Linked DNA regions of Anolis sagrei. The protein of the gene in region 1 interacts with the protein of each later gene in a pairwise test. Links are inferred from orthologs where the notes say so. Each region holds a gene or a part of one and is shown on either strand. Other genes may lie near its edges.

Region 1 (16,274 bases):
CAAAGTCCCAAATACATGAAATGACCCTTTTGGAACATTTTTTCAGTATATCAATGGTTTGAGATGGGCAGGTGCAGCCCTCCAAGATCTCTCTCTCTCTCTCTCTCTCTCTCTCTCTCTCTGTGTGTGTGTGTGTGTGTGTAGAAATGAAGCTCCTTGTCATCTAGAAGTTGCTCACCTCTACCACAGTCCAAATCACAATCCACAAAAAATTGACACCTTTATTGGCCCCTCAAAATGCAGAAAATACATAATGCAAGCTGAAGGTGGTCTGGAGGGATTTCAATGCAGGGAGAGGCACTCCCCCTCTTGGCCATGAAGGTACATTGGGAAAAGAGCTTTAAAAGATAGGTGGAGATGGAAGTGTGGTACAGTGAGCATTGGACTATGGCTCTGGAGACCATGGTTCAATTCCTCCCTCGGCCACAGAAAGCCGCAGCATGACCATGGGCAAGTCGTACATTCTCAGCCCTAGAAAACCATGTGATGCTCACCATAAGGTTGCCATAAGTCGGAAATGACTCAAAGGCATGCAACATCCAGTAGAATTTCAGCTCATTAGCAGCAACAACAACAACAAAAAAGAATTTCCTTGAGATCCAGGTTGTCTCACTCCTGGGGCTAACTCCCCCTAGGCAGAGAGCATTGAATTTCTCAAGAAGTCCTTATTACATCTGGAAAAACAGGTGTTGCGTAGGTGAAATGTGTCAGTTAATGTCCAGATGAAAGGCTTACATTTGTTGGATGTTAAAACCTCAAAGAATCCTAGTTCATTAGCTCCCCCTTGTCAAAGTTTCCCCTATGGAAGAAAAAAAATTGTATCTTCAAATCTAAGAGACCTATTCAAGCCCTTGCAGCAATACATAACAAAATACAAACTCCACAAGAGCAATACTTAGCTTCTTGAGAGATTATGATGCTAATAATTAAAATTGTTTTGCCTCTCATTTATTGCTTTTTGTTCTTGGTCCTCAACATGGCCAAGTAGGGAACTGGTCCCTTCCTGTATTAAGATCTTGCCAGGCTCTCTTAACATATGAGACAAAATGTAAGCTTGTGACTCTAGATCATAACCTTTCAATCAAATACGTGAATTATCAAATCCACCGAAGTCAATGCCATAAATGTGGCAGGACAAATCTAATAACAATAGCCAAGGTGGCTGTCATAGTCATGCAGGAAGCAGGTCTTGATCAGCTCGGCTATTGTGTACTTCATGTACAAAGAAGCACGTAACATTGTGTACAATAGGTCAAGGGAGGAAAGAGATAGAAATTTAAAAAAAAAGTTGCAGTGTGGAGTGCTCCTGTATCCTTTTCTAAAATAATCAATTTCATCGCATTTGTTTTCAGTCAATATAGCTATTGAATACGCTCAATGTTCCCTGAACTCTCCCTTTTCTCCCTAGAATGTTTGTACATCTGCAAACCTTGGGGTTCCCCAGGCCTGCAGACAACTCACCCTTGGGTGTCAGAGATGCCTTTTTCTTTACAAAAGTATCTCCATTCAAAGAATGGGTTAATATGGGAAGAATAATACAATAGTTATTCACAGTTTGGCATTTTGAACAGAAAGAAGCAAAAGTGAAGAGGCATGAAGTGGAAGAAAAGTCAGAAATGACATGGTGACAGAGAAAAGACAGAGAAATGCAAAAGCAAACCAAAACGGGAATGCTGAGAGCACAGGATTTTACCAAAATTGAAGTTACGGCAGCTACTTTAAGAGGTTTGAATCCAGTGGTTTAGTCTTGAAACAATGGTTTTACACGATCTGTAAATAGCCATTTCTTCCATCTGGAACAGCATAACGCTTGGATCCGATTCTGCATTCTTCACTTGGAAAAAACCCCTCCCAATGAAGTCAATAAAGTCGTGTTGATTTTTGTTGTTGAGGGGGTGAATCGAGCCTCCATGCACAAAAATGCAAAATCTAGTCTCTTGGTCAGAAAGGAAATGACTGCACAGTGTTCACATTAAGCTGACATTGTCTGTTTGTTGTTGATATTCTTTTTTAACGACTTGCTCAACATGTTTTCTCAGTACAACCATTTGAATCTGAAGATTACTTTCAACATAGTCAAGATATTGGACCAGTTCCATCCAAATGGCTTTTCATTCTGGCTCCAAATCCCACAGACTTGTTATATATGCTGCTGGGAGTATGAGGCTCTCTCCCCACCCCACCTCCCACCCCATGCATTGAAACGTATCCCCCGCCCCTTGAGACATTCCATGACATCCTCTTTGGTGAACAGCTTCCGACAATGTTTCTCTCCAACTTGCATCCTTTTACTTAGAGATAGGTTTTCTTTGGCAAAAGTGCTGCAGACATCCCCTTTTAACTAGTTTCCTGTTTCATGCTGCCTTCATAGAGCAACGCAATGTGGCATTCTGGAACTATGTCAAAGCCTGCGTTTAGAAAAGTATAAGTTATGCACACTGTGCTTGGAGGCATAATAAACCTTGCCATGCCTCTGCTAGCAAATACTGCTTGGAACCCACTAAGGCCTGGTCTGGCAGTATACTTTGTGTCTTGGATCTTTCACAGAGCACTGTGAAAACGATCAAGCGTCTTAAGCAAACACAAAAGCTCCAGCTCAGAGGCGATTACATATCTGAAAAGTCATGCGCCTCTCCAATATAATTTAATGCATCACCACACCTTCTTTCCAAACAAAGATAAGATGATTTGCTCTGAAAAATAAGACAATAGACTTCATTGTCTTTCCACTCTGTAGGATGTGAAATTGACCCATAGGAGCAAAGGAACTATCTGTAGTAGAAGAGAAAACAATCAAACAGTGCATCCACATTCCACATACTATGGAATGGAAAAGATCTCAATGAATACTTTTGCTAGCTTGTCCTCAAGAAAGTGAACATGGGGTAATGATTTAGGAGACCACCATATGTATCACAGAAACCCAGTTGGTGATCTTGAGCAAGTCACATTCTCTTAGCCTCTGAAAAGACAATAGCACGTCCCTTGTGAACAGATCTTGTAACAAAACCACATGTTCAGTTTGCCTGAGGGTCACCATAGTGACTTGAAGGCATACAACCAGTACAATTTTACCTGTTTGTTATATCTTCTTAAAAATCCCAATTTTAATAGTGCTTCAGCTAAAGCTTCATCTTATACTTACTTAGGGGATGTGTTTATTATTGTATACATACCAAGCGGGATCCTGACCTAAGGCCTAATTCAAGGGTGAGATCCATTTTGTTATGTGGATTCTTTATGGTAGGTGTGGTCTCATTCCTTAGTCTTGGTAGAGACATCCAGATAAAGGTTTTAAAGAAAAAACTAACAACTAATATGTATTAAAATCAGTAACATAACAGATTAACTCTTGAGAATTATTCTCTTACATGGTCCCTTCAATACCAGAGCCAGTTCTCCTTCCTAACTGCTTTATCTTGCTGAAATTGTCATCTTGACTCTGTCTGCTCTCACACCTTGTCTGCTTTTCAGAGACTGCTATGTTCTTCTTACATTCTTTTCACCTACAGCTTACCTTCAGAGCATTCCCAAAGCTGTAATTGACTACCTTTCACCCAGCTTACCCAGCAACTCCCTTCATACTGCCTCGTCATGGGCCACTAAAAATTGTGAAAAATAGATCCCATAATAAAAAAGTATTTTGTCCCAGAAATCAACGCACATACCATACATAATGCAAGTGCAAGGCCAAGCACATATATCACTGATTATTCTGCAACCACCAGAGCAGAGCTTGTAGTCTGCACTGAAACATTTCATTGTAGAGTAAATTTTATGAATTAATACTGAGGCTGCATCTCTAAATACATTTATTATGGAGCAATATGTACAAATACAGTGAGACTTCCCTTTCAAAACATGCATCGGATTTCTCTATAACCGCCAGTTAATTTTGACAGAACAGGCCCATGCATGGTTATCCAGATAGCAGTCTCACTGCACTCAATTAAGCTTATTACTAGTTGGCAGCCTTAGGGCCCTATTCTATACCCAATTATCTGAGAGTAATCTCACAGTTTCAAAATGTTGGTATTTTCTGTATAACTATCCAACTGCAGATCTGACATTCATCCAGCCTAATGTTTGTTCTTTAGCTTCTAATGAATCTTGATTTCTAGCAACTCTCCTTACACTGAAATGAAATTTGCTTATCACTTTCATCAGCAACATCATACATATGTATAACTTATTGTAACTTTATCTGTGTCATTCCGGCCTGTATTCTATATCTTCTTTAACCTATAGATTGCCACCACCTCTAGAACGACGTGCCCTTCTTTGTCCTTTGTTTACAGTTTGTATTAATATCAGAAGGCTTTCTCCTTTCCACCAGTTTCTCCTTTCCACCAGCTTAAATCCAGGCATTCCAGTTTCTCTTGTGATTACCGCTCCCAACAACACCTGTGCCAAAATGTACTACAAAGGTTGAGCGCTCGCTGGCACTACCCACACAAAGTACATTTTCTGTCTTCACACCAGGCTGGCAAACAACGCTGTGTCCTGCACCTGACAAATCAATTTCTGGGTTTCAAGTGATCAAAGTGCCACAAATATAAACCCGACAGACACGTCGTTCTGTTGTAGAGTGTGCAAAACAAACTATAGTGATCTGTCACTCAGTACTTTTTCGCACCCATGTGATTGTTGGATTTTTCATTTTTGTTTCACCCGAAACCATGTCAAGCATTAGATGCTTAACAAAAACCATGATCTGATGGGATAGTTTTATATCCAAAAATCTGGTGCCAACAATCTTCCCCAGAGGGTTTTTCATCCCTCTAGAACAAGTTTTAGGTCACATGAGGGACTGCCAATTGCGGCAGAAGCTTCAGGCTTCTATTGAAACACGTAATTGGAACCTGGGCAAAAAAAGTGGAAACCCTTAGTTCCTCCGGCCAAATGATACAGAATAGAAGCCGACCTACTTTCAATATGTAATTATGTAAAAAGTGGAACCTTTAATGTTCACTGTAAATATTAATCTTCATCTGCTTTGGCCCTTAAAAGTTCTAGACAGCTTCAAGGTCCAACTGGTCTTACAACATTCTGTAGCAGAACACCTGTTTTGAAGCTAGATAACAAACCTGTTCCATTTGTTCTGAAAGATATAATCCTCATCTCAAATCAAGCATATATTTAAAAACCCTGCAGCCCATTTAGTTGAACGGAAGAAGTATGCGTTCTGTTGAAGCTTCGTATCCATAGATTCAGCATTCATGAATTCAACGTACCAGGCTGTGGCGTAGCTAGTTAGTAGCCAGGTGCATTAAAACACTACTGACAGAAAGGTCATGATTTCAAAGCCAGCCCGGGTCGGAGTAAGCTCCCGACCATTAATAGTCTAGCTTACTGTTGACCTATGCAGCCCAAAAGAAAATTGCACCTGTCAAGTATTATTATTATTATTATTATTATTATTATTATTATTATTATTATTATTTTATTTGTACCCCGCTAGCATCTCCCAAGGGATTCTATGCGGCTTACAACAGGCCAAAGCCCACACAATATAACAATACAGTACCTAGCAAATAAAACAGTTAAGCAAGAACAATAACAATAGTAGTACAACAAGACATTATTAAAAACTGAGCCGGCCAGTTTTACTACCTAAAGTAGTAAATTTAGGTACCGTTGTATGCAGGGAGGCTAAGTTAACTAAGTTACGATGCCATAAAACCTTCCAGCAGCATGCAGGAGAATGAGGAAGTACTCCATCAAAGGACCCGGTGTCACAAGTGGATGGTGAAGCGACAGCTTCCCCCTGTGGCCGGAATCGAGCATACCCTCATGAAGCCAGAAAAGCTGGAATGTTAAATGGCCTCTGTGTCTGTCTATATATGTTGTATGTCAAAATGGCATTGAATGTTTGTCATGTATGTGTGCATTGTAATCCGCCCAAGGTCCCCTGTGGGGTGAGAAGGGCGGAATAAAAATACTGTAACTAAATCAATAAATAAATATCCACAGCGTGAAAATATTCAAAGAAAATAAGGGGAAAAAATCCTTGTTTTTGCCATTGTATATAAGGAACACCATTTACTACATCATTGAATGTGATGGAACACACATTCATAGATCTTGGGGTCCTGGAACCAAACTCTGTGGATACCAATGGTCCGACTGTAATCCAAACTAAATTAATTTTAACAATTTAAAGAGTTACAGCGACACAAATGCATAAGATGGAATGGAATGTAACTGCAACGCTGTGAAGGTCTCTCAATTCAAAATAATAGAAAGAACCCTTCAAAATGGCCATGTTAAAAACAATCTAGGGGCTATCTTTGTGTAACTGCTGATTTCATCTGCTTTGTGTGTACAAAACGGATTAAATCACTCTAATTTCCACCTCATTTCCTTGTGACTGAAAGTTTTGCACTTCTGGAAAAATAGCTCCTCCTTTCTCTAAGGTTTTTTTCTCTCTCCCTGGAGAGAACATCCTTTGCAGAAACTCTTAATTGGTTCCATCTGTACAGTTCAGCCTCTTTCCAGTATCTTATTAACTCCTTCCCTTCCAACTTAGGTTTCTAATATTGTTACCAGATGTATTGTCAGTTTTATTAATACTGTAGTATGAGGGCAGTATGAGGTGCAGCAGGTTAAATGGCTGAGTTGCTGAACTTGCTGACTGAAAGGTTGGTGGTTCAAATCCAGGGAGCAGGGTGAGCTCCTGCTGTTAGGCCCAGCTTCTGCCAGTTTGAAAACATGCAAATGTGAGTAGATCAATACCTTCTACTCACTTCTACTTGCCTTCTGTGGGAAGATAACAGTGCTCCATGCAGTCATGGCCACATGACCTAGGAGGCGTCTACAGACAATGCTGGCTCTTCGGCTTAGAAATTGAGATAAGCACCACCACCCCTCCCCCCCCCCCCCCCCGAGTTGGACACAACTTGAGTTAATGTCAGGGGAAAACCTTTACCCTTTTATGGGGGCAAAATGATTGCCCACACAGAAAATGCAGAAAGCTGGACAACGTGAGCTATTTAGGCTTAGGCTCAGTGTCAACAAAGGCTGTACTATTCAGAGAGAGAGAGAGAGCAGCTGCAACCCAGCTCCCCAGAACCAATGCGGGTGCAGCTGTTTGGGAGTCAGCTGTATTAAAATTACTACTGACTGAGAGGTCATGAGTTCGAAGCCAGCCTTAGCTGGAGTGAGTTTCTGGCCATTTGTCTAGCTTGCTGTTGACCTTTGCAGCCTGAAAGACAGTTGCATCTGTCAAGTAGGAAATCTAGGTACAGCTTATGCGGGGAGGCTAATTTAACTAATTTAAGATGCCATAAAACTCTCCAGCAGCTTGCAAAAATGTGGAAGTACTCCATTGGTGTCACAAGTGGATGGTGAAGCGACAGCTCCTCCGGTGGCCAGAATTCAAAAAGCATACACTCATGAAGCTGGAAAGTTAAATAGCCTGTGTCTCTGTCTATATATGTAGCGTGTCTATGGCACTGAATGTTTGCCATGAATGTGTGCATTGTGATCCGCCCTGAGTCCCCTGTGGGGTGAGAAGGGCAGAATATAAATACTGTAAATAAATAATAAATAATACATGCACATCTGCACTATAGAATTGATGCAGTTTGACACCACTTTTAACTGCCAGGGTTCAATGCAATGGATCCTGGGATTTGTAGTCTGGTGAGGCACCAACGCCCTTTGGCGGAGAAGGCGAAAGACCTTGTGAAACTACAATTCCAGGATGCTAAAGCACTGAATCATAGCAGTTAAAGTGGTATCAAACTGTATTAACTCTATAGTGTAGATCAGGCATGGGCGAACTTGGGCCCTCCCTCCAGGTGTTTTGGACTTCAATTCCCACAATTCCTAACAGCCTCAGATCCTTTTCCCTTAAGCAGAAAGGGCCTGAAGCTGTTAGGAATTGTGGGAGTTGAAGTCCAAAACACCTGGAGGGAGGGTCCAAGTTTGCCCAGGCCTGGTGTAGTTTATCCCTGGAAGACAAAAAGTGGGGTTTGCAACCCTGTGACCACAACACCCCAGATCAAATTGTGATTCAATATTAAATTTGTAGTTCTGATTAAAGATATATACATCTTAGAATCATAGAGTTGGAAGAGACAATAGGATTTTATCCTTATCAGTCTCAGATAGAATAGAATCATAGAATCAAAGAGTTGGAAGAGACCTCATGGGCCATCCAGTCCAACCCCCGCCAAGCAGGAAAATTACATTCAAAGCACCCCTGACAGATGGCCATCTAGCTTCTGTTTAAAAGCTTCCAAAGAAGGAGCCTCCACCACACTCTGGGGCAGAGAGTTCCACTACTGAACGGCTCTCACAGTCAAGTTCTTCCTCATGTTCAGATGGAATCTCCTTTCTTGTAGTTTGAAGCCATTGTTTTGCGTCCTAGTCAGGGCAGCAGAAAACAAGTTTGCTCCCTTCTCTCTATGCCTTCCCGTCATATATTTACACATGGTCATCATGTCTCCTCTCAGTCTTCTCTTCAGGCTAAACATGCCCAGCTCTTTAAGCCGCTCCTCATAGGGCTTGTTCTTCTGGACTTTGATCAGTTTAGTCGCCCTCTGGACACATTCCAGCTTATCAATACCTCCTTTCAATTGTGGTGCCCAGAATTGGACCCAGTATTCCAGGTGTGAAGAACAAAGAACAAAACGGATTAAATCTAAAATATTTTTAAAATACAGTATTTAAACCAATACTCTTGAGCAAATAACAGCTGTGGGGGATGTCACATCTTTAAAGGATTGATCTATTTGGGGAGAAGGTCCGCATTTCGGTATTCCTGCGAGGAAGGGCGGGGGAATTTGAAAGGAGTCGGTTTTGCACACGGCCCCACCACTTGCATTGCATCATGGGATCCGTAGTTCCCCCACAGCGGCCATTCCACAAGGACGCGTTTCTAAATCTCTTTCTTGGCCCTTCCGGCGCCCCGTAGCAGGAGCAGCTTCCCTAGCTATGGCGCTGCGTTTGTTGCTCCGAACCCTGCGCGCCTCCTGCCTCGCCGCTCCGCCTATTGGTCGCCGGATCCCCCTTTGCTCACCAGCGCCCCTGGCGGCCGGGCGAGGAACGGCCAGCTGTAGGGCGTTCCGAGAACGCTGCCTTCTATTGGCGGAACCTCAGAGGCTGGCGATGGAGGGCGAAGCGGGAGAGGAGGAGCCGCCTGTCCTGCCTGCGACCAGCGGGCAGACCGGTGAGGAGAGAGAGGAGAACGCGGACAGCCCCCTTATTCGTCCCCCAAAGAAAGGGCGGTGGAGGGAGAGGAAGAAAGGACCTTGAAACCCAGATCTGGCTCAGTTTTTCCCAAAGCCTGGCCTTCCTTGTGTTTTGGACTTCAACTCCCAGAGTCCCTGCTCGTTGACTCCTACAGCTGAGGATTCTGGGAGTTGAAGTCCAAAACAACCCAAAGGACTAGCCTTTGGGAATTGCTGTGGAATTGATGCAGTTTGACACCCCTTTCACTGCCTTGGTTTGAGGCTATGGAATCCTGTCAGTTGTAGTTTTACACGCCTTTTCTGCCAAACAGTAAAACTACAATAAAACAAGGGCCCGGTCCTATTCAACATCTTTGTTAATGACTTAGATGAAGGCTTGGAACAGGGATCCTCAAACTTTTCAAGCAGAGGGCCAGGTCGCAGTCCCTCAAACTGTTGGAGGACCGGATTATAATTTGAAAAAAACATGAATGGATTTCTATACACACTGCACATATCTTGTTTGTAGTGTAAAAACACTTTAAAACAATACAATAATTAAAATAAAGAACAATTTTAACAAATATAAACTTATTAGTATTTCAGTGGGAAGTGTGGGCCTGCTTTTGGCTGATGAGATGCCATTGTTGTGTGATTTCAGGTTGTTTCAGACTTAGGGTAAATGCCCTTGGGGGGCCATATCCGGCCCCCAGGCCTTAGTTTGAGGACCCCTGGCTTAGAAGGCATGATCATCAAATTTGCAGACGACACCAAATTGGGAGGGATAGCCAATACTCCAGAAGACAGTAGAATACAAAACGATTTTAACAGATTAGAGAGATGAGCCAAAGCTAATAAAATAAAGTTCAACAGTGACAAATGCACGATACTCCACTTAGGCAGAAAAAATGAAATGCAAAGATACAGAATGGGGGGGGGGGGGGTGCCTGGCTTGAGAGCAGTACGTGTGAAAAAGATCTTGGAGCCCTCATGGACAACAAGTTAAAAATAAGCCAACAATGGGATTTTGGCCTGCATAAATAGGAGTATAGTGTCTAGATCCAGGGAAGTCACGCTACCCCTCTGTTCTGTCTTGGTTACACCACACTTGGAATATTGTGTCCAGTTCTGGGCACCACAATTCAAGAGAGATATTGACAAGCTGGAATGTGTCCAGAGGAGGGCATCTAAAATGATTAAGGGTCTGGAGAACAAGCCCTATGAGGAGCAGCTTAAAGAGCTGGGTTTCCCTTGTCCCCCCACTCTTCTAGTAAATGTTGAATAAAAAAAATCAGGGAACACTCACTCTTGCTTTCTCCATGGCCACATTTGTTGATGTCTGCATGAAGACATCTGCAATGGCTAGGAGCACTCCAGATATCTGACAGCAGTAATGGGGGATGGTTAGGTGACAGTCCAGCATTTCTGCTTTGGATTGGTCCTGCAATTAAGCAATCGGTATAGATGAGCCCATGGTTAGAACCAAACTATGTGCTTTGCATGCCTGACAGCTGACAGTTGGATTACTCCAGACTAGATTATGGAGGCAATCTGTACTTTGAATGGTCAATAGTATACATGATAGCTATGTATAAATGTGTGAGAGGAAGTCATTGGGAGGAGGGAGCAAGCTTGTTTTCTGCTGCCCTGGAGACTAGGATGCGGAACAATGGCTTCAAACTACAAGAGAGGAGATCCATCTGAAAATTAGGAAGAACTTCTTGACTGTGAGAGCCATTCAGCAGTGGAACTCTCTGCCCCAGAGTGTGATGGAGGCTTCTTCTTTGGAAGCTTTTAAGCAGAGGCTGGATGGCCATCTGTCGGGAGTGCCTTGAATTTGATTTTCCTGCTTCTTGGCAGGAGGTTGGACTGGATGGCCCTTGTGGTCTCTTCCAACTCAATGATTCTATGATTTCTATGATTCTAATACTAATAATAATAATACAATATTATAATTATATATTTTATATTACATGTAACATTACTAATAATATTACAATATAATGGTGTAGTACAGTATAGTAATATATAATACTGATATTGTATTATGCTAATAATATATTGTATATATATCTTGTAAGCCACTCTGAGTCCCCTTTGGGGTGAGAAGGGCGGTATATAAATGTCATAAATAAATAAATAAATAAATACAATTGGTAAGATTGCCTAGCATTGAGCCATGGCAGTGAAAGTGGTGTCAATCTGCACTATTTCTACAGTATGGATGCACCCCTCTTTCCTTTAGAGCAGTGGTTCTCAACCTGGGGTTCCCAGGTGTTTTTGGCCTACTACTCCTAGAATTCCGAGCCAGTTTACCAGCTGTTAGGATTTCTGGGAGTAGAAGGGCAAAACATCTGGGGACCAACCGGTTGAGAACCAGTGCTCTAGAGAAGAATAATAGGCAACCTATACACATGATATGAAGGTCATTTTATACATATTTCAAATATGTATAAAATACATATTTCAAATAATTTGTCACATGAAAAGTGTGTGTACATAGAAGCTTAGAAAGCAAAGATGCCAATGTGTTGTCGAAAGTTTTCATGGCTAGAATCACTGGGTTGCTGTGAGTTTTCCAGGCTGTATGGCATTCTCTCCTGAAGTTTCACCCACATCTATGGCAGGCTTCCTCAGAGATTGTGGGGTCAGTTGGAAACTAGGCAAGGAAGGTTTATATATCTGTGGAAGGTCCAGGGTGGTAGAAAGAACTCTTGCCTGCTTAAGGCAAGTGTGTATTGGCCAACTTGATCAGCCTCACAACCTCTGAGGATCCCTGCCATAGATGCAGTCAAAACGTCAGGAGAGAATGCTTCTGGAACATGGCCATACAGCCCGAAAGACTTACAGCAACTCAGTGATTCCAGCCATGAAAGCCTTCAACACTACATTGAATAGACTTGCAGCTTCAAAGCCTGCCTCAAACAGACAGGAGTTCTTTCTCCCACCCTGGACATTCCACAGATATATAAATCTCACTTGCATAGTTTCCAACAGGCCTCACAACCTCTGAGGATGCCTGCCATAGATGTGGGTGAAATGTCAGTAGAAATGCTTTTGGAACATGGCCATACAGCCCGGAAAACTCACAGCAACCCAAAGATGTCGCTCTCTCAGCCACCCATCTAGGCAATTGTAGAGTATTTTGGAATTATGGGCAAGGGATACTCAACATGTATGAGTTTCTCTTCCTTCCCATTGCTGGTAAACAAGTTGGTGTATGTCGCATCCATGTAAAATCAGCTTTAGTATGTGCAGTCATTAGACCGATGCCATGGAAAACTGATGGTGCTCCTCCATTGTGGAATAAGTGCAGTTTTACAGCACTTTAACTGCCATGGCTCAATTCTGTGGAATTTGTGGTTGTTGGAGTTTTACAAGGCCATTAGCTTTCCCTGCCAAAGAGTGCTACAGCGTAGATGCACTCATATGTACAAATCGCCTCTGGGACTAAATGACCTAAACAAATCTTGGATCGGTTATGCCCCTTATGGAGAATGTGAATCAAGCAATAACGGAGTACATCGATACCTACAGTTGTGTCAAAGAGAAGCACTTCTCAGAAATTTGTTCCTTATAGTACAAGATCTATTATATACAGCAGTCTTTACCCAAAGGTTTTTAATGTCCAGTATTCCTTTATTTATCTCCCACCTTTATCTGAATACTGACTCCAATATAAATTTACAACATAAAGCCCAAGGAAGCTCATAACATGATTTAAAAAGAGAGACAACTGAAAATGTTATAATATTAAACATGAGCATTAAAAATATTGAAGCAACTGCATTTTCAAAATAAAAGGCGTGCCGGCAAACGAGAAGTGTAGTACTCCTATTAAAAGTTTAACATTCAGCAGATAGTTAATTGCCAAAAGCTTGCCTTTGCTCTTGGAATGAAAGAGCGCCATCATGGGCATTGGATTAGGAATTTGGAGACTAGGGTTTAAATTCCTGTTCAGTCATGGAAACCCATTGGGTGACCTTGGACAAGCCACATACTTTTAGCTTCAGACAAATGCAATGCCAAATCTCCTCTGAACAAATCTTGACATATTTGTATATTTTAAGTTGTATTGCAATGCTTTAGTTATGAGCCGCTTTGAGTCTCCATATGCAGAGAAAAAGTGGGATATTAATAAACATTATAAAACATAATAATAATAGAATATATTTTCCCCCTCCGCCAGCTTGGTATTCTCTGGAAGGGAATTTCACAAACTCGGAGTAGCAGCAAATATTTTAATTGTGGGACATACCAAGCAACCCCCCCCCCTTTGTTTTCCCAAAGGTTAGAATTGATTTTTCTGACCTCCAGGCAGATAGTTTGACTGCCTCTATATGACTCTTCCAGTTACCATTATATGAGAAGTAGATGCCCAGGTATTTAAAGCTGTGACATTGTTCTGTTGGGTGGCCATCCAGTTGCCATTTATGTATCTGCTTCCTCTTGGAATAATACAAACCAGACATTTGTAATTGTTATCATTTATCATTTTAAAGGGCCAGTAAAGTTTTAATATTTATATTGGAAAGTGCTTATTGTACTTTTATGTCATGGCCTATGGCTAGCACAATAAACCATTCATTCGAACTCGGAGTATCATTAAGAAAACCCTATGGGTATCCCAGGACTAAGGAAAAGACTTAAAGGTTTGACAGGTGCATTTAGGGAGTTGCAGTCACCAGTTAACTTAAACCCAACTGTAAAGGGCATTGCAAGATATACCCACTCTTTTTTGATTGAGGCACGACTTCTGCTATCCAGCCATGGTCAAGACTTTGACTGCAGCATTTTGGACCTTGGAAAGAGTTTATAAAGGTAGCCCCATGTTGTTGGGTTAGATAAAAGAGCATGGGTTGTCATCCTTCCTCTCTAAATGCACCTGTCAGACTTTTAATGGAACTCAAAATGGCTTACATAGGATTGTTCATGACTCGACCATTCAAAAGCTGACCTGGTCAAGATCTCCTAGTTTTAAACAAAACAGGCTGAATTGATTTTAGATCTAGAGCTTGACACTAGAAATATGAACTGTAATAGCAATATTAAATGGAAGTAAATCAACAGGTAGTCTGTAAAATCAATGCAATTTGACACCACTTTAATGGCCATGGCTCAATGCTCTGGAACCTTGGGAGTTGTAATTTGGTAAAGCAGCAGTGCTATTTGGAAGAGAAGGCTTAAGACCTGTAAAAGTGGAGCTCCCACGAGTCCACAGCACTGAACCATGACAGTTACAGTGGTGTCAAACTGCATTAACTCTACAATGTAGATGCACCCTGAGTAAACTTACTCAACTTGTGGGTATGGTTCTTGTGATAATACTTATAATGCAGTACCCTTTCACAAGGCAGCAGGAGGAAAGAGGACTCTGGAAATTCATTTGCTACATATAATTAGCATAAAAGAATGAGGATGTTCCATTACAATCTATTATGTTAACTGTCTACTAATTCTCTTTTGAATGTTCATGTAATTATTGATGATTCACTTTCACACACAATGTTATTACATTTGTGATTCTTGTCCTCTCTTTGGTTGGCATAAAATTGCCATGTGTGTGTGTGTGGGAGAGATAATATTGTTATTATTTTCTTACACTGCACCCTTTCAACAGTTATAAAAGATATCTATTTGAGAATGACTTATCTGAAAGTGACCTATCCAGTGCTACCCAATGAACTTCATGATCTTAAATCCAGCTCTCTGCTCACTATATGAACATTGCTCAGTGTCACAAATTGACTTCACATGATCACAGGTTACAATGACATAAATACCTAACAGGATTCCAGATCCTCTTATTAATAGCTATGCTCAGGACTTGTAGTTAAGAACTATGATTTCGTTGATGGATTGAATCAATCCATTGCTTTCCTTTTTTTCCTAGTGCCTGCAACTTTACCAAGCACTATTGTCCTTTCCCATAAGTAATAATTCTTCATATGGCTTCAATTAAGTCATTTTGGCTTCCAGTGAAAGCTCAGTCTTGATTTGCCTGTTTTTGTTTGATTTTTTGCATTCCATGGTATCTGTACAATTGTCTTCCCAACATCACATTTCTTCGTGTCTGTTTTCTTAACCATAATCTATAAAGGCTGGCTGATTTTCTTCAGAAATTCTTTAATGCATTCTATTAACCAATGCATGTTTCCAATATGATCTTGAGCTACTCATATTCCTCTTGAACATCTAGCATTTCTTCAGTACTTATGGGTACTGAACAAATATGGGGTCAATCTGCAGTTGTTCGTTTGAATAATGAAGTACTTCATACTGGTAGATTCAAATATACCAAAAATGGCATTGTTTCTGGTCATTGCATTGACAGTGCAAAGAGTTCAGAAAAGAAGTTGTATATTGCTGAACAAATCTATACACTAGGTTCAGTGGGCTTTTTCCATTTTCTTCTCTCACCTTTTAGCCTCCTACCTGCTTCCAATATCAGCATTAGATGTTCCTCAAATCTCCTGAGCAATCATTAGTGCCTGCAGGAAAAAATTCACTCTGCTGAGTGAATTACATTATGTTACCAGGTAGACACGGTTGGATTTCTGAGAAGAAAGCTTGATTGAACTCAGTGGTATGATGTGTTGGGCTCTAGCTAAGTGCATTTGATGTACACAGCCACTGCAGGATTGTTCTGTGTAGAGTAGACACTACACTTATTAAATTTCCCCTCAAAGTGCAAGAAGAGCATGTGATGCCAAGTCTTCTGGAAAACATACAAACCTACCGTCAAAGTGTTTTCATACTGTATAAATAGGAAATATAATACAGTAATCCTGGCTCTTGGGCCTTAATCTAATTTCTAGTTGCAGCTAGACTAAATCCACTGAATCTGTGGGATTTACATAAGTGTTGACATCATTCAGCAGTTGTTTCTATGGATCTAACTGTTACTGGGATTAGAAATTAGATTTAGGCTGTTTTCTGTTTGCTCTAATGTAAATGGTATAACTCCTGTAGCCCTGTCTCTGTTGGACCAAAGCTGCAATTGTGTGCTTTAATGTGAAAAGTGAAAGGTATGTGCTTGGGAATCCAGGTTACAGCCCAGTTCTAAGTGTACCGTGTTGCGTACTGTGTTGACTTACT
Region 2 (16,307 bases), on another chromosome or scaffold:
AAATAATAACTATTACACTATGTAACAAAAATTTGAAAAATATCTGTTCCTGGTCTGAAAGTGTTATTTCAAACCAGGAACAGTAACTTTTTGTTTCTGTGGCTGCCTCAAACTTACGTTGAATTGGTTGAGATCCGATGAGATAGTCATAAAAAACTAGAGCAAACCATTATGCACTATATCTGAGAAAAACAAAGTTTTTTTGCAGTTTAATAAACTTTTCCCATGTTTTTATGATGGAACCAATTAGGAAATAACATTCATAATCCAGGAACAAAAATCATGTTACATAGTAGTAGTAATATTTGTTACTTATTACTATTATGCTTCCTTTTTTTCTTAGTTCTTTGCACTCTGCTGGTTGATAATTAAGCAATTGGTCTTAACTTTGGTCCTTGATTGTTTTGGACCTTGGCTCCAAGAACTAAACAATGGCTAGTGATCAGAGATTCTGGAACAAGAGTTACTGAACTAATAATGTTATCAGTCTCTAAAGCAGGCATGGGCAAACTTCGGCCCTCCCGGTGTTTTGGACTTCAACTCCCACAATTCCTAACAGCCGGTAGGCTGTTAGGAATTGTGGGAGTTGAAGTCCAAAACACCGGGAGGGCCGAAGTTTGCCCATGCCTGCTTTAGAGAAATGTGCAATTGAAAGGGTGGAAAACAGAGTCATATCTTTTCTTTGATTACCGCGCACTTCTGCAATTTCTTTCATCGTAAAGTTCTGCTCCTGGGAAACAGTCACGGTAATGTCGGCCCCGGGAGTCCCATAGCCCCAGACGATTGCACAGCTGGGTTCCTTCTGCAGCACCATGTGATCCCCATAATAGTTTGCAAAGCGAAGCTGGGTACCTGGAAGGCATGAAAAGGTACAAAAGTCCCTATTAAGTCACATTTCTTCAAAATCCAATTTTCACAGGGACAGAAAGTGAGGTGAAATCTTCTGAACAGGGGCACAGACAGCAAAGGAAACCTCACAGGGTGTTAACCGTTCCTCACAGGGTGTTAACCGTTCCCTAGGTGTGAATGTTTCAACTGACCACCTTGATTAGCATTTGATGGCCTGGCAGTGCCTGAGGCAATCTTTTCTTGAGAGGTGATTAGATGTCCCAGATCGTTTACTCTCTGTTGTTTTGCTGTTGTAATTTTAGAGTTTTTTTTAATACTGGTATCCAAATGTTGTTCATTTTCATGGTTTCCTCCTTTCTGTTGAAATTGTCCACATGCTTGTGGATTTCAATGACTTCTCTGTGTAGTCTGACATGGTGGTTGTGAGAGTGGTCCAGCATTTCTGTGTTCTCAAATAATATGCTGTGTCCAGGTTGGTTCATCAGGTGCTCTGCTATGGCTGATTTCTCTGGTTGAAGTAGTCTGCAGTGCTTTTCATGTTCCTTGATTCGTGTTTGGGCAATGCTGCGTTTGGTGGTCCCTATGTAGACTTGTCCACAGCTGCTTGGTACACGGTAGACTCTTGCAGAGGTGAGAGGATCCCTCTTGTCCTTTGCTGAACGTAGCATTTGTTGGATTTTCTTGGTGGGTCTGTAGATAGTTTGTATGTTGTGTTTCCTCATCAGTTTCCCCATGCGGTCAGTGGTTCCCTTGATGTATGGCAAGAACACTTTTCCTCTGGGTGGATCTGGCTACCAGTATTAAAAAAAATACAACAGCAAAACAGTAGAGAGGAAAGAATCTAATCACCTCACAACAAAAGATTGCCCCAGGCACTGCCAGGCCATCAAATGCTAATCAAGGTGGTCAGTTGAAACATTCACGCCTAGCTCCAACAGATAAGAGTTCTTTGTCCCACCCTGGTCATTCCACAGATATATAAACCCATTTTCCTAGTTCCAACAGACCTCACTGCCTCTGAGGATGCTTGCCATAGCTGCAGGCGAAACGTCAGGAGAGAATGTCTCTAGAACATGGCCATATAGCTGGAAAAAACCTGCAACAACCCAGTGATTCCAGCCATGAAAGTCTTCGACAATACATTATAATTATATTTTATAATAATATAGATAGACTAGCCATCCCCTGCCATGCGTTGCTGTGGCCCAGTCTGGTGATCTGGAAAATTAATGAGAAAGTGTTGGTTTCTAATATGCGTAATTTCTTGATGCTTGTGGGTAAACAGTATTTCTTGTTCTTTCTTTGTCAGTGTTGATGTGGAGAGTGTCTGGTTTGCCCACCCTGGAACATGCAACATATCATTATCCTTCTTTAAGGGTCCCTTTCAAGTCTATGATACTATATCTGTGTGTGTGTGGATCATATATATCTATTTATATCTATATAGCTGGATGGCTCTTTGTCAGGAGGGGCTTTGATTACATTTTCTTGCCCTGGTGAAGGGAGTTGGACTGAATAGCCTTAAGTATTTTCTGTTGGTCGTGGGGGTTCTATGTGGGAAGTTTGCCCCAATTCTGTCGTTTGTGGGGTTCAAATGCTCTTTGATTATAGGTGAACTATAAATCCCAGTAACTACAACTCCCAAATGTCAAGGTCTATTTTCCCCAAACTCCATCTGTGTTTATATTTGGGCATATGGAATATTCGTGCCAAGTTTGGTCCAGATCCATCATTGTTTGAGTCCACAGTGCTCTCTGGATGTAGGTGAACTACAACTCCAAAACCCAAGGTCAATGCCTACCAAACCCTTCTAGTATTTTCTGTTGGTTGTGGGAGTCCTGTGTGCCAAGTTTGGTCCAATTCCATCGTTGGAGGAGTTCAGAATGCTCTTTGATTGTAGATGAACAATAAATCCCAGAAACTACAACTCCCAAATGACAAAATCATAATTTTTGAGTGATGGTCACCCTTGTGTAGTGAGATGTTTTGTTGCCAAATTTGGTGTGATTTCGTTCATCGATTCTTTTGTTTTTAAGGTACTCATTATGCATAGAGCATTTATATATAGATAGAAGATGGCTAGTATTACACTTAAAATGTACCTGCTCCAAATTACATACAAATTCAGCTGGAAAAACCTACAGAACTGATCTTGTTCATATCTTGGGGACGGCCTGTATAATGCAAAATATCATCAGACACATTGTCCTATATGCTCATGTATAAGTCTAGAGACATTTGAGTCAACTCAAAAATCTGGGTCGATTTCTCCAGGGGTCAATGTGAGCATTGCACCTTGCCTCTTACATAAAATAATGCAGCCTGGCAGCATTTTAACAGCCATGGCTCAAGGTTATGAAATCCTGGGAGTTGTAGTTTGGTGAGGCACTAGCCAACACCTTGCAAAAATGACAGCTTTAAGGATTTCATTGCCTGGAGCCAGAGGTGGCTCATCCATTACGCGAAGTAAGCGGTCGCAGAACACTTTTTTTTGCCAGGGGTGCAGAGGTGCCTCTGTAAATGCCCCTCGACCGCCACTTGAGGAGCGCCCCCTCAGCTCACAACAGCCCTAGCAGTCCGGGGGGAGCCTTGGCTTTCTTGCCTCACTGCCGGGCGATCCTCTTCCCAAAGAGGCCGGGCCCTTGAGCCTCGCCTAGCCCCTCTCGTTCCTGCTCCACCCGGCCACTGGGTGCGCGAGCAGAGCCGGTGCTCAATTGTTCTCCACGTTCGATCCCTTCCCCATGACCGGCTCCCTTTCCTGATCCCCCAGCGCTCCACCCACCTCCTCTCCTCTCCCCAATCCGTGGGTGGGCCAAGAAGCGGAGCCGCCGCGCCTGGCCCGCTTTGGGTCCGGAGGCGTGTCTGAAGACCCCAATGTGCGCACCAAAAGTTGCCTCTTCTCCTGATTTTCTCTTCAGCCATTGGGACCAAGAGAGAGAGAGAGAGAGAGAGAGAGCTCCTCCGGCTGGAGGTATCTCCCACCTCCGCTCCCTCCTTTGTTTTTGCGCCTACCTTCAGGAAAGGTGGGCATCTCCACCTCTCTCTCTCTCTCTCGGTCCCAATGGCTGAGGAGAAAGTCAGGAGAAGAGGTGACTTTTGGTGCACACGCCGGGGTCTTCAGGCACGCCTCCGGACCCAAAGCAGGCCAGGCAAGGGAGCAAGTGCGGCAAGTGTAGTTACTGGGATGTATAGTTCACCTAAAATCAAAGAGCATTCTGAACTCCACCAATGAAGGAATTGAACCAAATATGGCACACAGAACTCCCACAACGAACAGAATATATATATCAATGATTGGTTGGGGGGGGGGGGGGGTGCGCCAAAATACTGTTCGCTTACCATTGAAAATTACCTAGGGCCACCTCTGCCTGGAGCCATGGCAGCTTCCAATGGTCTCCAATGGCATTCACTCAATCAGTGGCACCCAAAGCTTGGTCTTCTAGATTTTGAAGACTTCAACTCCCAGAAGCCCCAGCCGGTTTGGTGAGCTACCGGGGATTCTGGGAGATGGAGTCCAACCTTCCTAGCATTGGGCTCTATGGGGGCGCCGGCCGCACATGCGCAGTCGCTCTGGCCTTACCTGCGCTCCAAGCGAAGAGCAGAACGGGGGCGAGGAAGAGCCGCGGGGACGCCATGGACCTCTCGAGCCAGCCAACGCTTGCTTCCAAGAGCCTGGGGCGCTCCTCCGAGGGCTGACGCGCGGCTGGGAGGGAGGAGTCGCCTTGTGTGACCTCACACTGGGCCAGAGCAAGCCCGGAGGGAAGGAAGCAGGCAGAAGGGCACGCTCCGGGCAAGGTCTGCTCTTTGGACTTCAGCTCCCAGGAGCCCTTTTCATTGGCCACAGCAGCGGAGGCTTCTGGGAAATGAAGTCCAGGGCGAGAGACTGGCAATCACTGCCTACAGCAGGTATGGGCAAACTGCAGCCCTCCCTCCAGGTGTTTTGGATTCCAACTCCCATCATTCCTAACATTCCTCAGCCGCTTAAGCGGCTGAGGGGGAAAAGGAAGGGGCCTGAGACTGTTAGGAATGATGGGAGTTGGAATCCAAAACATCTAGAGCCCCCAAGTTTACTCTTGCCTGCTCCAGAGCATGGATCCTCTTTGAATCCAGTTTCTGCCTCCTGCAGAATTCTGGGGTTTGTAGTTTAGGGCAGTTTAAAGGCACCTCACTAAACTACAAGCCCCAGAATTCTGCAAGAGGCCACAACTGGATCCATGCTCTAGTGATGAAGTCCAATTGTCTCACCCAATTTAAGTTAGTTTGTGGCAGGCGCAAAAACAAAGTGTCTGGAGCATAACAAATACTTTCAGAGTAAATACTGCACAATGAAACAAGAAATAACACTTTCAAATCTGGAATAGGGTGGGGGGGGGATCAATTTTTGTTACATAGTGATTATCTACTTTGAACTGGAGTCTATTTATTTATTTACTAGCCGTCCCTTGCCACACGTTGCTGTGGCCCAATCTGTGTATATGTGTTTTGTGCGTGGATATATGTGTTTCCATATGTGGTGGTCGTGTACCAAGGCCAAGATATATTACAGAAAAACACAGAAGACACTACAGGAAATACTAAATATTAGGCTTGGGCAATCCATGGTTCTAAATGGTTCTAAAGTACTTACAAAACTAAAGTTCTGGTGGCGAAAATTTCAGAACTCTAACAAAACTCTCAAAATTTCATAATGAATGGCAGTTCCTAATTGGTTCTGTTATTAAAATCACCAATAATGAAATAATAATTAAATTTTGAAAGTTTTGTTAGAGTTCTGAAATTTTCACCACCAGAACTTTAGTTTTGTAAGTACTTTAGAACCATTTAGAACCATGGATTGCCCAAGCCTACTAAATATAAGAATTCCATTTGAACCAGAAATATTCCTATTAGGAATAACAGACCAAGAAATAGAGAAGAATACAGATAAAATCCTCTTTCTGTTAAATACAGCAACGAGAATTTGTTATGCGAAACTATGGAAAAAAGAAGACATACCAGAAATTAGCGACTGGATAGAAAAAGTGATAGATATCAAAAACATGGACAGGTTAACATATTTAATAACAAAAAATAAAGGGACCCCAATAAAAGAGACCGACTGGACAAAGGTAACAAACTACCTAAAACAGAGAAATGGATACACAATAACATGAAGGGAAGAGAAAACAAGACTGAAGAATGAGAAGAAAGAAAGAAGAGGAAAAACCACCAGAAAGATACTCAGGAAGTCAACAAAGGAGCCATAACAATCTGCTCCTATTTTTAGCTCTATTTTTTTCTTTTTTGCTTTTCTTCTTGTATCTGCCTATTTGCCTTTTCCCTATTTTTTCTTTTCTTATTTGTTTTTGCACTATTCTTTGCACTATTTTTTCTCTGCACAAAATGGAAAAAAATCTGTTTTTCAATAAAGATGATTATTAAAAAAAGATATATGTGTTTATGTGTGTGTATTTGTGTATATATGTGTGTTTCTATGTATATATGTGGGGTTATATGTGTGTATATATATGTATGTGAATTTTATATATATGTGTGTGAATTTTAGTGGACATGCATATTGTGTATATTTTTGTGTAGGCATGTGTATTCATGTGTATATGTATGTGCATGTGTATGATATATGTATGCATATATTTGTGTGTATATGTGTGCACACATGTGTATATGTATGTGCATGTGTATATGTATGTGCATGTGTATATGTATATATGTATGTGTGCCCAGCGAAATCTTCTGCGTTTTAATGTCTGATTTTATATTGTTGTGTTGCTTATTACATTGTTTTGCATTTCGTGTATTTTATTTTTTGGTTTTATTATGTTCTTGTGTTATTTTGTTGTGTATTGTAGTGATGGACGTGGCCTCATGCAAATCTCCCTTGGGGGAGATGGAGCGGGGTATTAATTAATTATTATTATTATTATTATTTTATTATTATTATTATTATTATTATTATTATTATTATTATATGTATGTGTGTATATGTGTATATGTGTATATTTGTGTTTGTGCATATATATATACGTGTGTGTATGAATGTGTGCATGTGTATATGTATATGAGTGTATGTGTATATGTATATATGGTGTATTTTTTGGGTTTTTAAGTCTGTCCCGCTGGAGTTTTTGTGTGTGTGTATTTAGGGGGGATGGACACTCGTTGGTCTGTTAGGTGTCTTGTGTCCAAATTTCGTGTCAATTCGTCCAGTATTTTTTTAGTTATGTTAATCCCACAAACGAACGTTACATTTTTATTTATATAGATTATTTATTTCCAATATTTCTATCCTGTTCCTTCTCGACCCCCAAAGGGGGACTCAGGATGGCTTACATTTTGGCAGCAATTCGATGCCACTACATATAACACAGCAATATAATAACAATTAAAACAATATGTTTTGGCCTTCAACTCCCAAAAATCCTAAGGGCTGGTAAATTGGCTGGGATTTCTGGGAGTTGTAAGCTAAAACACCTGGGAACCCACAGGTTGAGAACCACTACCTGAACCTGAAGCATATATAATATTATAGATTAATATCACCATAGATAATTATAGAATCCTAGAGTTGGAAGAGACCTCATGGGCCATCCAATCCAACCCCATTCTGCCAAGAAGCAGGAATATTGCATTCAAAGCACCCCCGACAGATGACCATCCAGTCTCTGTTTAAAAGCCTACAAAGAACTAGCGCCCACCACACTCTGGGGCAGAGAGTTCCACTGCTGAACGGCTCTCACAGTCAGGAAGTTCAGATGGAATCTCCTTTCTTGTTGTTTGAAGCCATTGTTCCGCATCCTGTCTCGAGGTTGGCAGAAAACAAGCTTGCTCCTTCCTCCCTATAACTTCCCCTCACATATTTATACATGTCCCTCATGTCTCTTCTCAGCCTTCTCTTCTTTAGGCTAAACATGCCCAGTTCTTTAAGCTGCTCCTCATGGGGCTTGTTCTCCAGACCCTTGAGCATTTTACCCTCATCTGGACACATTCCATTATAGATTAATATCATCATAGATCATTATATCCGGTTCAAAGCAGATATTGTGGTATTTATATTATATTATATTTATTTTATTTATATTTATATATATTTAATATATTTATATTTATTTATATTAGCAATATAATACTAATAATATCATCATAGATAATTATAGAATCAAAGAGTTGGAAGAGACCTCATGGGCCATCCAGTCCAACCCCATTCTGCCAAGAAGCAAGAATATTGAATTCAAAGCACCCCTGACAGATGGCCATCCAGCCTCTGTTTAAAAGCTTCCAAAGAAGGAGCCTCTGCCACACAATATTATCATAGATGCGCCCCACTGGACTGGCTTAGTCTGTCAGTTTGTGCTTAGCACTGTGCAACGCCATAAAAAGCCAGCGATGACGTCATACGCCGGGTCTGACGTCACTGCTGGCCTTCTATGACGTCGTCTTTTCCTCCCTCCCACCCTCAGAGTCCCCGAAGGCCAAGGATTCAAGGCGGGCGGGGACAAAAAGCTAAGCGGCTTCCTGATTGGGCGGGCGTCATTGAATGGCGGGGGCTTCGGCCAATAGGTTGGCGAGGGGAAAGGCTTTAATTGGGAACGAAGAGTTTTGTCCCTTTCCCGTCGCCGTCGGCGTTGCCTAGACAACCGACAACAAAGGCCGGGCTCCCTCCCCGTCCCTTCCATTCCACGCTGAAGAGGTAAAGCGAGGCCGGGGTGATGCTTGTCGCCGGCGGGCCGGGTTGGGAAACCAAGGGTTGGTTCAGCATCCCTTTCCCACTGGAAGAGCTCAAGCCTGGCCTGCGCTCTGGTCGGGCATGGGCGCGTCCACACCGTGGAATTAACGCAGTTTGGTGCCACTTTGCAGAGAAGGCCTTGCTAAACTGAAGCTAGTCCCCTCTCAGCACTGAGCCATAACAGATCCAAGGCCCCTTCCACACAGCTATATACAATCCCACATTGTCTGCTTTGAACTGGGTTATATGGCAGTGTGGACTCAGATAACCCAGTTCAAAGCAGATATTGTGGGATTTATATTATATTATATTTTATTTATATTATATATAATATTTATATTTATTTATATTAGCAAAATAATACTAATAATAATAATATAATATATTTATATTACATGTAATATTACTTACTTACTTACTTACTTACTTAGGCGATCCCTCGTTGGACGAGTAAGATGGTCTTCCATGATGGGATTCCTTGTGGATTCGTAGGTGGCTGTGGAGCCCTATTCTTGTTCCGCATCTTCTCCCACAGTGAGGGCATCGGTTTCCAGGTGGAAGGCGGTCCTGGTCAGAGTTGGCTTGACGCGCCTTCCTCCTGGCACATTTCTCTCTTTCATCCTCCACTCGTGCCTCCTCGAATTCTGTAGCACTGCTGGTCACAGCTGACCTCCAGCTGGAGTGCTCAAGGGCCAGGGCTTCCCAGTTCTCAGTGTCTATGCCAGAGATTTTAAAGTTGGCTTTGAGACCATCTTTAAATCTCTTTTCCTGCCCACCAACATTCAGTTTTCCGTTCCTAAGTTCAGAGTAGAGCAACTGCTTTGGGAGACAGTGGTCAGGCATCCAGACAACGTGGCCGGTCCAGTGGAGTTGATGGCGGAGGACCATCGCTTCAATGCTGGTGGTCTTTGCTTCTTCCAGCACGCTGACGTTTGTCCGCTTGTCTTCCCAAGATATTTGCAGGATTTTCCGGAGGCATTGCTGATGGAATCGTTCCAGGAGTTGTATGTGACGTCTGTAGACAGTCCACGTTTCGCAGGCATAGAGCAGGGTTGGGAGTACAATAGCTTTATAGACAAGCACCTTGGTATCCCTACGGATGTCCCGGTCCTCAAACACTCTCTGCTTCATTCGGGAAAATGCTGCACTCGCAGAGCTCAGGCGGTGTTGTATTTCGGTGTCGATGTTGACTTTGGTGGAGAGGTGGCTGCCAAGGTGGCAGAAATGGTCAACATTTTCTAATGTTACACCATTAAGTTGTATCTCTGGCATTGGGGAGGGGTTGGCTGGTGACTGCTGGAACAGCACTTTGGTTTTCTCGATGTTCAGTGACAGGCCAAGCTTTGTGTAGGCTTCTGTGAAGGTGTTTAGAGTGGCTTGTAGATCTTCTTCTGAATGCACACAGACGACATTGTCATCAGCATACTGGAGTTCTATAACAGATGTTGTTGTAACCTTGGTTTTGGCTTTCAGTCAGTTTTCAGTTAAGGTCAGTAGTCACAGCCTAGTCTTGGCTCCAGGGGTACAGTTACCCAAGCACATATATTATATCAAGATTCTATGTCTTGATAATGGCGGAAAATAAATAAATAAAGAGATAAAGTGGTAAATAAATAACTAATACTCCCAATTTTCAAATTATGTCTCTTCCATTGGTCTTATAAATGAAGTGCAGGTGAGACGGAAACCTCCTGAGCGGCAATGGCGATTCCATTCTCCAATACCACGCAACGCATTCCTCCAGGGTTTGCGAATCTGCTCGAAGGCCTGGCCAGGGAAGTCTTGAGGAGCCAACCTGAAGATATACCAAGCTTTGCAGCCAAGTACTTTGAAACTCTTCTCATCGAAAGAGAAAGTGAGCCTCAACTGAGTTAGCTTCTCAAGCATTTCATGAAATTAATATATGTGAATCTTCAGCCAGACCTAAGAAAGACTCCTACAGTCTATATCTATGTACATTTACTCAGAAGTATGTCACTAGGATAGGCATGGGCAAACTTTAGCCCTGCAGGTATTTTGGACTATTGGTTGTTAAGAATTGTGGGAGTTGGAGTCAAAAACACCCGGAGGGCCAAAGTTTGCCCATGCCTGTACTGGGGCTTAGTCTGCCATGTAAAGTGTGCAAAAGACTGTGGTCTGAAAGGCACTTGATTATCCCAGCTATACAGTAAAAGACACAGTCTGCTGCCTGCTATAAAATCTGGTATCTTTAAAAGTCCCATTCTCATTTTGTTTACAAAAGTTTGGGACTCTCATAATTGTGGAGACTAGCCAAACAACATCAACTGGTGAGCAGTCAGTATTTGAAGATGATATAATTTGACCTGATGTCAATCATGGGATAATACTGGGTCAGTTTAATCTTATCATTTTTATTAGAAGTAAATCCCTTTGGAATGTATAGGCTTTCCTTCCAGGTACATAGCATCTTTTTATCTGTTTAGAGATTCAAGGACCACATTGCCTTAAACACAAGGACCATATTGCCTTAAACACACTTAGCCAGCATGTCAACGACTTAGGATGAGGTACCAAATATTCTTCTCATCACTTCTCATTGTATTGTCATAATAATACTGTTGCATAAGTCCGCACCTGTATGCTTGTCCACTATGCCCTGCCTCATGTACAGAGGAAGAATTGTCGGAGGCTACAGACAATGCCATTGCTGTTGCCTGTTTTTGGTCAAAAGATACTTAGCCGCCTGCGCTCCTATTTTATCAGTTTTATACTAATTTATGCAGTGCTTTTGGTACGAAATAAAATAAATGAATATTTATTTATTCATTTATCATGTAAGGAACAAGCCAAACAATTGTACTGCATTTTTAAACAAACAAACAAAGAAAGTTTGCAAGCTTGGTAGTTGATTAAATGCCCTTTGACCAGTAGCTGGCCACTTGGAGTGCCTCTGGTCTATAAGAAGGTCCTCCATTGTGCATGTGGCAGAACTCAGGTTGCATTGCAGCAGGTGGTCTGTGGTTTGCTCTTCTCCACACTCGCATGTGGTGGATTCCACTTTGTAGCCCCATTTCTTAAGGTCAGCTCTGCATCTCGTGGTGCTAGAGCGCAGTCTGTTCAGCGCCTACCAAGTCGCCCAGTTTTCTCTGTGCTCAGGGGGGAGTCTCTCATTTGGTATCAGCCATTGATTGAGGTTCTGGGTTTGAGCCTGCCATTTTTGGACTCTCGCTTGCTGAGGTGTTCCAGTGAGTGTCTCTGTAGAACTTAGAAAACTATTTCTTGATTTAAGTCGTTGATGTGCTGGCTGATACGCAAACAGGGGATGAGCTGGAGATGTCACTGCTTTGGTCCTTTCTGAATAAATAAATAAGCCAGGATGAGAATTGGTGACTGGCACAAGTCAACTAAGATAGTTTCATAGGTGAGAGGACAATTGAGCTCAGGTCCCCCAAGTCTTAGGCAAACAATCTACTGTATATACTCGAGTATAAGTCTAGTTTTTCAGCTCTTTTTTTTAGACTGAAAAAGCTCCCCTCAGCTTATACTTGAGCCAAGGTTATTTATTATTTTACTCTGTTATTAGTATTTTTATTATATTTATGTTATTACTCTATTATTATTTTATTACATTTATTATTTACTCTATTATTATTTTTATTACATTTATTATTTACTCTATTATTGTTGATATTATTACATTTACATTATTTTACCCTATTATTTTCATTACATTTATTATTTTACTCTGATTACATTTATTATTTTACTCTATTATTGTTATTAAATTTATTATTTTGCTCTCTTTATTATTATTGGAAAGATACGTAAGCACATGTACATTGAAGGAGGCTAGAATAATGGTTTCATCCGAGCTGGACAGTCTTCCATTACAGTTTTATGTAAATACTAGCTGTACCCACCACGCGTTGCTGTGGCCAACCTTCCCTCCCTCTTTCTCTCCTCCCTTCCCTCTTTCCTCCCTTTCCTCTTTTTCTTTCCCTATCTCTCATCTTTCTTCCATCTCTACCTGTTTCTTTTCTCCCTTTCTTTGCTCTTTGGTTACATCCATCCTTCCTTCCTTCCTTCCCTCCCTCCCTCCCTATCTTTCATTCCTTCTCTCCTTCCTTCTCTCTCTTTTTCCTTTCACTTTTTATTTCCTTCTCTTTTTCCTTGCTTCTCTATCTATCTATCTTTCTTTCTTTCCTTCTTTCCCTCCCTCCTTCTCTCCCTCCTTCCTTCCTTCTTTCCCTCCTACTCTCGTTACTTCTTGACTGTCCCTTGCATTTAATATTGTATTTATATCTTACATAGAAAGACAGGAAGGAAGGAGGGACAGGAAGGAAGGGAGGAAAAAGGAAGGGAGGGAGGGAAAGAAGGGAAGGAAGGAAAAGAAAGAAGGAGGGACAGGAAGGGAGGGAGGGAGGAAGGAGAAGGAAAGAAGGAGAAGGAAGGAAGGAGGAAGGAAGGAGGGAGGAAGGAAGGAGGGAAAGAAAGGAGGGCAGGAAGGAAATGAAGGGGAAGGAAATGAAGAAAGGGAAAGAAGGTGGAAAGGGAGGGAGGGAGGAAGGAAAAGAAGGAAAGGAAAAAAGGGAGGAGGGACAGGAAGGAAGGGAAGGAGGGAAAGAAGGAAAGGAAGGAGAAGGAAAGAAGAAAAGGAAAGAAAGGAAAGGGAGGGAAGAAGGGTAGGTAGAGAAGGAAGGTCCTTCATTCAAGCACCGTGGACCTTCCTCGCCTTTTCGTCCTCCTAAAATTAGGTGCCTCGGCTTATGTTCAGGTCGGCTTATACTCGAGTATATATGGTAATTATTACATCATTTTGGCTTTACTCAAACAGAAGTTATTTTCTTAATAGGCAGCTCAACATGGCTTCGCTGTTTTTTAGGTGGTTTGAAATGTATAGTAGAGGCTCCTAGAGAATGGTAGTATGCAATATGCAAATTATTGGGAAATGCAAGAGAGCATTTCTCTGTATAACATACAGTATAAACATTTTTTTCCCATTTTCCCAACTGAGTCAATCAGCTCTGCCTGCTGTAGGTGGAAATCTACTTCTTTTTGCTGGGAGTAAAATTGCTTCTGCCCCTCCTTGGTTTAACAGACCTTCAGATTTATTTTGGTTTTTGTTATGTGAAGATGTTGCTAAGCAGATTGACATCGAAGCGAATGATTTTAATTGCATAGGGCACAGTAGCAGCTCTTACATAACAGAGTTCTATGAATTCGGCACCAAAATAAATTCTTCTTGCCCTGAAATCCAAATTTTGAAGCCTGAGCATATATTATGCCATTTAAGAACAGTGTGCAGATTTTTTAAAAAAGCAGGGCAGGAATATTTCCAGTGCTAGGACGAATTGTTCCCCTGCATGTGTGCACACACATATACATAATTTTAAAAAGAGGCCAGCAAGTACTAGTGGGGCATAAGTCTGTGTGGAATAGAAAAAAAAAAGGTTTTTGTAGGCTATTGTAACATTTTAAGAACAGGAAACAGGTAAAGACGTGATCTTAAATGGGATTCCGTCTTCTCTTGACTTTTTTCACTACAGCAGTTAATCATTTTAAAGGCAGAACTGCTGACCGTGGTTCAAATCCAAGGAGAGCAGGTTGAGCTCCCTCTGTCAGCTCCAGCTCCCCGTGTGGGGGCATGAGAGAAGACCCCTACAAGGATGGTAAAACAGCAAACATCCAGGCGTCCCCCGAGGAACGTCCTTGCAGATGGCCAATTATCTCACACCAAAAGCGACTTGTAGTTTCTCAGGTTGCTCCTGGCACGAAAAAAATAAAAAAAATAAAATCATATTGCATCTTTATTAGGTTCTTGTAGTTTTTTCGGGCTATATGGCCATGTTCTAGAGGCATTTCTCTCCTCCAAGGAGAAATGCCTCTAAAACATGGCCATATAGCCTGAAAAAACCTACAAGAACCTAGTGATTCCAGCCATGAAAGCCTTCGACAATACATCTTTATTATCCTTTTGTTTTGGTGAAGAATTTTACTGAATTAGGATATCTCACAAACTTGGAGTCTGCCCATCCCTGCCTTTTGTTTCTTCTGCTAATTCCTTTGTAACTATGATGTTATTGTTTACTAGCCGTCCCCTGCCACGCGTTGCTGTGGCCCACATGGAGGTCCTGTGTGGGAGGTTTGGCCCAATTCTATCATTGGTGGGGTTCAGAATGTTATGTGATTGTAGGTGAACTATAAATCCCAGCAACTACAACTCCCAAATGTCAAGATTCTATTTTCCCCAAACTCCACCAGTGTTCACATTTGGGCATATTGAGTATTCGTGTAGTGTTTGATCCAGATTCATCATTGTTTGCGTCCACAGTGATCTCGGGATATAGGTGAACTACAACTCCAAAACCAAAGGGCACTGCCCACCAAACCCTTCCAGTATTTTCTGTTGTTCATGGGAGAACTGTGTGCCAAGTTTGGTTCCATACCATGGTTGGTGGGGTTCAGAATGCTCTTTGATTGTAGGTGAACTATAAATCCCAGCAACTACAACTCCCAAATGACAAAATTAATTTTTTTGAGTGAAGGACATGCATTGGGTTGTTAGGTGTCTTGTGTCCAAATTTGGTCTCATTTTGTCCAGTGGTTTTTGAGTTCTGTTAATTCCACAAACAAACATTACATTTTTATTTATATAGATTGTTTGCGTTTTCGGTTTGTGTTTTTGGTTTTTCTTTATTGTAATTGTCATTTGGGCTTGGCCTCATGTACGCCGCTCTGAGTCCCCATCGGGGAGATGGTGGCAGGGTATAAATAAAGATGATGATGATGATGATGATGATGATTATTATTATTATTATTGAAATGAGTATGTGATTTTTAATATGTCCTGGCTATTTAATGCCACAGAGAGTCTTGCCTTTGCTTCCTCCTTTCACTTGTAGGCTATTACTTGGGTTTGTTATCCTGCACAGGAAATGGAGGGCCCATGGCCCTTAAAGCTGGACTTTCACTGAGAAATGTTAGTTCCCTAAGTGTATTTTGTTGCAACTACCACTTTAAATAAACACATATTGATCAGGAAACTGGTTTTATTTTTATGTGTAGTTATTTTTTAAACATATTTTTTCCAGAAACTGGATATGACCCAAGTGAATGGGGAGCAAAGCTAGATGACAGATACTACAACAATCACGCTTTTAATGTAAGTATTACTCAGCTGGGGGCATTTACTTCCCTTTATTCTGCAGACTTGACAAACTGAACATGACATAGGACAGCAATGATCTTGAAAAAAGGTTTCTGGTAGCAATGAGAAAAATATCTGAGTGCATAGGGATTGTCATAGGATTGAGAATGTCCGTCTTCTCACTATAAGTTATTTTATTGTCGCTATACGGTCACTAGCAGCTTTGAATGGGAGGCAGATATAAATTGGAAAGGAAATAAGGTCTGCATGGAAAACAATTTCAGTGGCAACAATGCTGTGTTAGGAGAAGCAATAGTCAGGAGTGTAGCACTGAGAATCTTCCCTGTCATTTCTAATTACTGTATATACTCGAGTATAAGCCTAGTTTTTCGGTCCCTTTTTAGGCTGAAAAAGCTCCCCTTGGCTTATACTCGAGTCAAGGTTATTTATTATTTTACTCTGTTATTAGTATTATATTTATTTCATGTATTATTTTACTCTATTATTATTACATTTACAGTATGTTAGCCTATTATCATCATTATTATTTTACACTATTTATGATTATTATTGCATTTATTATTTTACTCTTATTATTACATTTATTATTTTACTCTATTATTTATT

What was found.
Region 2: the proteins of AKAP7 (region 1) and SPA17 interact in a two-hybrid assay, tested with the Homo sapiens proteins (3 studies listed by BioGRID and IntAct). The two-hybrid records come from large-scale screens. The link is inferred for Anolis sagrei from reciprocal best matches to the Homo sapiens genes AKAP7 and SPA17.

The regions. Positions count from the first base shown.
Region 1 is NC_090021.1:82,609,683-82,625,956, reverse strand, and holds the start of AKAP7 (A-kinase anchoring protein 7), read left to right. Parts: upstream 1-8,878; 5' UTR 8,879-8,940; coding exon 8,941-9,175; intron 9,176-16,274. UniProt on the Homo sapiens protein: Probably targets cAMP-dependent protein kinase (PKA) to the cellular membrane or cytoskeletal structures.
Region 2 is NC_090027.1:18,391,009-18,407,315, reverse strand, and holds the start of SPA17 (sperm surface protein Sp17), read left to right. Parts: upstream 1-8,409; 5' UTR 8,410-8,536; intron 8,537-10,242; exon of another isoform or gene 10,243-10,247; 5' UTR 10,248-10,273; coding exon 10,274-10,427; intron 10,428-15,624; coding exon 15,625-15,695; intron 15,696-16,307. Other genes in the region: SIAE (sialate O-acetylesterase), read right to left, coding at 691-852, 4,430-4,484. UniProt on the Homo sapiens protein: Sperm surface zona pellucida binding protein. Helps to bind spermatozoa to the zona pellucida with high affinity. Might function in binding zona pellucida and carbohydrates.